2 separate regions of the Mus musculus genome follow, and region 1 is reported to be linked to region 2. Evidence: microRNA targets listed by miRTarBase, many of them from high-throughput screens and not tested one by one. Region 2 holds a microRNA gene; the other region holds the end of a gene's coding sequence.

Region 1 (3,417 bases), not on the chromosome of region 2:
TACTCTGGGATTCAGTTTCATGGGGAATTGTGCTATATTGCTCACACTCATTGAGAAGCTTCAGGTTTGTACATAAGGGTTTAAATGATCATTTCTAACTACACAGGACACTGTAAGATGGTTTTTCTTTTCTGTTTCTTTCACAGACTACACACCGAAATCGAACCATGAGTCAAAGTCACAGCACAAGGGACAGAAAAGCAATACATACTCCCACCGAGGACCGTTTTAGATATTCTACAGCTGACCAGACAAGTCCCTACAAGAATATCTGCCAACTCCCAGGTCTGTGTCTTAGCAATTTCTTGAAGGACAAGGAATTAGGAGGAGTTATGAAACACACAAGGGGGAACCACGAAGCTGTCACATCAGAAATGACTCAGAACTCAAGGACAACTATGGGACAGAGCTTTCTGAAGGCAGCAGCTAAGCCAGAAGGGCTGCCCATGTTCTCAGAAAAACCAAAGGACCCAGCAGCTCTGTCCCGACAGCACTCCACCTTCACAGGCAGATTTGGACAGCCACCCAGAGGACCTATCTCCTTACACACATACAGCAGGAAGAATGTTTTTCTCCACCACAATTTACATACAACAGAGTTCCAGACTCTGGGCCAGCAGGATGGGTAGAAAAATCTATACCCTATGAACAATAGAAATGACTACTGTTCCATGTGTCACCTAAGAGTGGTCATGCCCATTTTACTACTTTTATGTTTAGCTCTAAGCAAAGACTTATGGGCTTTTATTTTATTTCTAAGAATGACAGCTTGAGTATGTTGACTGACTAGGTTGAATTGTTCAGAAGACTTTGCTCTCTCTATGGAAACATACATGTATAATGAGTGAGATGATCTTGCTGGCTTATGTAATCTATAAGTTATTTCTATTTTTTTCTGTATCACTTGCTAATATGCATTGAGGTTTCAAGAAAGTAATGTCAAATAGCTCTCTGTTTATGCTGTTATTATAAGGTAGGTTAGAAGAAGTATAAGAAGGAACTGTACAGCTTTAGATTACGTAGTTACTAGAAAGAGCAGAACAGACTTAAAGCTTATACTAGGTGGTATGTTTGTTAGTGGAATGAAGCTTGTGTGCATGTAACCTGAGATACATTTGTCTCTATTACATACATTCAAGCTTGTGGAGCTATTGGGAGGGAAGGACCATTTCTTTAGTTTTTAGAATGTTTAGTTACACTAGTTCATAAGGGATAGAAAGTCACAGCTCTGTTCTTCACAAAGTTGTGCTTTTTAGTTTTATTTTTGTTTTCCTACTGATATACAAAGTGTCAAAATATCACAGACTGAAGTGACAGTCAGCATAATTTTGTCAAATGGCACACTCAGTTATCATCATGGATAAAGAACATTTTTTCATTTACATTTCAAAGATATAATATTCTAAACTATATATTCTTTTGCTACAACTTTTTGTATTTTCAAAATATTCATTTATTTTTATATACATCTAGGTTTACTTTACATTCATTAAGCCATGATTTTTTTAAATTAAGAAACAGAATGACTGGTTTGGTTTGTTTTGGTTTGTTTTTTGTAACTTATATATAAAATTCTGGCTACACACTCAACTAGACTTTCAACAAAATATTGAAATGTGTGGATTTTGGCAATTGGACCTACAAAATAAATCTCCAACCAAAATTCTTGAGTCTCATTTTGTAGCAAATATTAGTCTTTGACATGTAAGGTCTAATATGTTGCATACTTATGTGTATAGGAGATAGATCCAAAAAGCTAAATAGAAGCATCATGCTCTTTTAATAAGAGTATCAACTGACTGTTTCCTTAGAGAAAGTTCAGGTCTAGTAACTACTCACATTCAGTACAGTGGATGGAATGAAACTATCAAACCCAGTGCACGTGCTATTTTTCATGCATTCTCTATCAGACAGAATCCATCAGCATGCACGGATGAGACGAACAAATGGGAAATGACATGGCAGTTTTAGCATGCCATTTGCCTAAGCTGCTATTAATAGAACTACACTGAACATGCATTGCCTAATATAAAATATATATTTGAACTCTACATTTTGGGGAAGAATCCTGAGTTGCCCCTCCCAGCTTTAATTATTGAAGTTTGGCTAAGCTTGTTCTTAGTTGATTTGGCTAGCGAAGACATGTACATCACGCAAGCTCTCTTGTGTTTTGTGTGTGTGTGTGTGTGTGTGTGTGTGTGTGTGTGTGTGTTCATAATTCTGCTAAAGAGGAAAAGGCACTGCAGCTTGCTGCTTAGCGTTCCCAACATCCTCTAGGAGCTACAAACCTCATGTGGATGTGCTATATGGGCTGGATGAAACTTGGGAAATTATAAAACAAAATGATTAGTTGTAGAAGTCAGCTTGATTTCTGTTGAACATTGTTTTTTATTGTTAGAATATTTTACAACTGTAAATACCCAAGCATGACACACAAAACAAGGGTTTTTTTTTTTTTTCCTCTCCAGGATATGGAAAAATATGCAAGGAAATGAGTAATGTTTTTCATTTGCATTTTGACGTTTACAGTTAAGTTTTCTTGGAAGATAGCTTTTGAATTATACTTTGTAAGAAATAATCTATTTAAAATACCCTGTCATTTAATAGACATTTTAAGAGATGTTTTGAACACTAGTATTTTCTTGACAAACCTTTTTTAAACTGAAACATTCAAGAAGAAACCCTGGGATAACCTGCTCACTTTTGAAAGGAAGGGTATTTTTGGAACGATCACCTTGAGACTGTTCTGTATCAGTATTTTCATCTGTGTTCTAGTTTCAATGTAATACCCAGTGTGACTCAGGCCTATAGAAGGTGCAAGCCCATGACGTTAGTGCAGGCCAGAAACAATGGCATGGGGTTCTTTCAGAAGTTTCTCTGTATGGCTATCGTAAGTTCTAACAACCTCGCGTGGGCATTCTTTCAGTGAATTGATTTCTTTGTACTAAAATCTCTAGTTTTCTAAGCCTGTTCCACATATTAAACAGTTTTATACATTTCTCCAAGGCGGTACATATCCAAAGACATGATGCCAGGGAAAAAAAGTGCTTGTTTTTCTGATGAAGCAATGGTCTCCTCCTTTTTCTTCTTTGCATGTATTTGTGTAGCTAAGTCTGAATACTCATGTAATATTTCTGCTGCAGACTCTTCTCAACACCAGATGTAGAAGAGTCATTCCTTGAAGGACAACTGTGTCTACCTGAAATAAATGATTCCCACTTTTGTAACCACTGGAATATGAGTCTTTCTTTCTAGATCAAGTCTACTGTTGTGTTTTCTAGATTTCTATATGCTAAGTGTCACACAGAATCTTGAGCAATTTCCAAAACTATCTTTGCTTCTCTCATCCACAGTCATCTTTGTCTAAATGATGCAATGAAACTCTTACTGCCACTGTATAACAATTAATCCACCTCT
Region 2 (3,417 bases):
GGTACTTGGAGAGATAGTAGACCGTATAGCGTACGCTTTATCTGTGACGTATGTAACACGGTCCACTAACCCTCAGTATCAAATCCATCCCCGAGGCCCCTGGAGAAGATGCTGTCTTCGGGGAGACGCCAGTAGACTCATCATCAGGGCTTCTCCATGATGCTGGAAGAGATGGTTTTCAATATGGCGTGTGTTCTTTCCTGCATGATGGGAAATGACATAATCTCCCCCTTCCTCTGCTGAGCTCTGCCTTGGGAACTCTTGCCATCTCTGGGGAGGAGACCACAAAGCTTTCTGGGATCAGTGCTCTTCGTGACCTCAGTGACAGGGGTGTCTAGGCGACTCTTGGTTAGTAGACTCCATGACCTGCTTCTTCTCAACACCATCCCTGAAGAGGTGTCCTGAGGCAACCTGGCAGACATGAACCTTCTTACAGCTGTCCTTGCTGTCACGCGGTACTTGAAGAAATGGTTTACCGTCCCACATACATTTTGAGTATGTATGTGGGACGGTAAACCGCTTCTTGGTATCCAGCCCAGCCATCCAGTCCATACCATCCTCGAGCAAGCCTGAAGTGAGAGAAGAAACGTTGTTTTGGCTTGCTCTCTACATCGGGCTGCTTGGCCAAACATCCCTCTGCTTTTTGTGTGCTTTCTCTGTTAATTCATGTGGCAAGGTGTTCCTGTCAGCTTCAGTGCAGCCCTTAAGGGCTTCTTCAAGGATGATGACAACCTCCAGGAAGGTGTCCTACATCCCAACTGGGCATGCTCCCTCCCTCCTTAGGACTTGAAAAAGTGGCAATTAGCTCCACAGATGCTCATCATCAAGGGATGCTGCGTGTTTTCATCATCTGCAAAGCTATCATCAGATGCCTTCAAGACATTATGCCCATAGAAGGACAGCTAGGGCTACATGATACAGTGCAAAGACAGATGCATGAAGACACAGTCCCTGTTTCCACTGATGCTTCGTATATAGTATCTTTTTTTCCATATCAAGTCTAGCCTTCTAGAGGAAGATGACCCAGCCTGGCTCCTCCATGTATGCTTACAGATCAAAGTTGCTTCTTGGCTCACTTCTTCTTACCTCCAGCCCAGCCTTGGAGAACTTGCTGAAGATGCTGCTAGCCTCAGAGACAGGGCTCTGGTTCTTGCATCAGCAATGACCTCACGGTACCTGAAGAGGGATCAAGCAAACTGCATGTGTATTATTAACACCATTTGTAACCTGGCCTACTCTTTTCAATATCAACTTCAGCTTTGAAGGTTTCCAAAGAGGCCCCATTAACCTTGGGGGTGGGGGGGCAAGGCAGAAGGACAAATGCCTTGGGGTAGAGGTTGTCCATGCTTCTTGCTTTACTTACAGCGCATGTTAATTTGGTCCACCTTCCCATAATAGTGAATGCGCCTTGGGGGCTTCCTGTGAACAATATTTCCTTAAAGGCACAGTGCTAGTTACGGGGTCTTCTCTTCGCGTCCTTGCAAACTTCTCTTTGCTATATTCTCTGCATCTGCAGCAGGCAATGCATGGTGGTCTCTTTTCAACATTGCATCTAGGGTTTCCTGGAAGTGATAATCATGAGGAAAGAAGCCAGCTCCTGCACCACCCTCTCTCCATGGTACCTGAAAAGATGGTTGACCATAGAACATGCGCTACTTCTGTGTCGTATGTAGTATGGTCCACATCTTCTCGTTATCAAAGTCATTCGTGAGGGTTTTCCAGAGACCGAGCCAACTTCATGGGAGATATCCTGTCCTGGCTTCAGCACAGTACTTGGGGAGATGGTAGACTGTCGAGTGTGTGCGTTAATTCCAGCATGTACAGCATGGTCCACCACATCTCTGCATCAGCCGGTCACCAGGGGCTTTCTGAAAGCCATACCAATTGAGAGTAGGGCTCAGGCGGCAGACCCTATCCAACACAGATTACCCAGTGCTTGGCTACAGGCCATGTTCATTACCTACGACTCTGGCCATTTGATCCAAAGCCAATATTTGGCACCCAGCCCAGCCTTACAGGGCATCCTGGAAGTCATAGTGGCATTAAACATGAGTTTGTGGCCATTGCCACACATGCCGATTGCTGGTAGTTTGTGACACTCATTGAGAAGGCATTTTGGAGGTAACACCAAATTAAGTAAAGTGAGCTGGAATCAGCCAGCGTTACCTCAAGGTATTTGAAGATGCGGTTGACCATGGTGTGTACGCTTTATTTATGACGTAGGACACATGGTCTACTTCTTCTCAATATCACATCTCGCCTTGGAAGACTTCCAGGAGGTGACATCTGCTTTGAGGAAGAGCCAGTGTCCCGGTCTTCCTACTGCTGCTGCTTGGTACTTGGAGAGAGGTGGTCCGTGGCGCGTTCGCTTCATTTATGGCGCACATTACACGGTCGACCTCTTTGCGGTATCTAATCCCGCCTTGCGAGCTTTCCTGGAGCTAACACCAGCTGTGGGGTGGGGACACTAAATGTGTGTGCTAGCGCAACCCAGCCAGCGGGTTTGTCTTTTCTTGTGTCTGACAATAACTCTTGTGTGGCAGCCTTCTTCTCAGCAAATTTCTCTGGCTTGGCAGCTTCGTGGGCAGGGTGACTTGCAGACCAGGAAAGTGGCATCGACATGTGATACACGTGTGGGTGCGTGAGGTGGTTGACCAGAGAGCACACGCTATATTTGTGCCGTTTGTGACCTGGTCCACTAACCCTCAGTATCTAACCTTCCCTTGGAGAACTTCCTGGAAGAGATCTCAACTTTTGGGGACAGAGGCAATAAGCCAGCTGTACGCTGTTAGACTTGGAGACAGCATCCTCAGTACTTGCAACATATGTGCCTGTTATGGTAGTATTGGATGGGCTTCCAATGCTGTCCTATACTTGGATCCCTTCCTTGATATGGGGCCATCCAAGTTCAAGAAACGTACCATGTTGTCAGACATGACCAGGGTGTGTGTATGCCATTTATATATGGCACAGGTCGCAGGTCACCTTAGCACACTTGCATGCTAAATCTGTGGGAGGAATCATCTTTGGTTTGGGGGCATCTGTGCCTTTCTGTGGTTACCCAAAATGGTGGTAAGTCCTATAGCCAGTCTCTACTGCGCCACTGCTCTCTGGTTGTGACATAACTTCAGGATCATGCCATGGAGGTCTGCTGTACTGGGGCATGTGATGGGATGGCTGTCAGATATATATCAACTAATGGCTTGCTTGAGCACTTTGACTAACATCCAGTGTGCAACCCTGCATTCAACAGGCCTGCCAGGTCTGAAGGTCACGTTGGGGAATTACCGAGGTAGTCTTGTCAGTGTTCGCTTCTGGTACCGGAAGAGAGGTTTTCTGGGTCTCTGTTTCTTTGATGAGAATGAAACACACCCAGCTAACCTTTTTTTCAGTATCAAATCCCATCTTGGAGGCTTC

Evidence for each region. Region 2 holds the annotated microRNA mmu-miR-323-3p (CACAUUACACGGUCGACCUCU, at 2,383-2,403, shown strand). A microRNA usually pairs through its seed, bases 2 to 8, with sites in the 3' UTR of a target mRNA and lowers its output. Matches are read on the target gene's strand: a 7mer-m8 pairs with bases 2 to 8, a 7mer-A1 pairs with bases 2 to 7 and ends in A, and an 8mer does both.
Region 1: miRTarBase lists Ccser1 as a target of mmu-miR-323-3p. Seed matches in the 3' UTR shown: 7mer-m8 at 934-940 and 7mer-m8 at 2,496-2,502.

Annotation. Positions count from the first base shown.
Region 1 is chr6:62,379,639-62,383,055 of GRCm38, forward strand. It overlaps Ccser1 (coiled-coil serine rich 1), which reads left to right. Exons shown (of 11, transcript NM_183310.2): 11 at 147-3,225. The coding sequence ends at 629. Among named protein-coding and RNA genes, the nearest start is that of Gm22212, 820 kb to the right of the region's middle.
Region 2 is chr12:109,710,176-109,713,592 of GRCm38, forward strand. Mir323 (microRNA 323) reads left to right here and starts at 2,333; the gene lies at 2,333-2,418. Mir299a (microRNA 299a) reads left to right here and starts at 463; the gene lies at 463-525. It overlaps Mir299b (microRNA 299b), which reads right to left and starts at 518; the gene lies at 470-518. Mir380 (microRNA 380) reads left to right here and starts at 1,628; the gene lies at 1,628-1,688. It also overlaps Mir1197, Mir758, Mir411 and Mir329.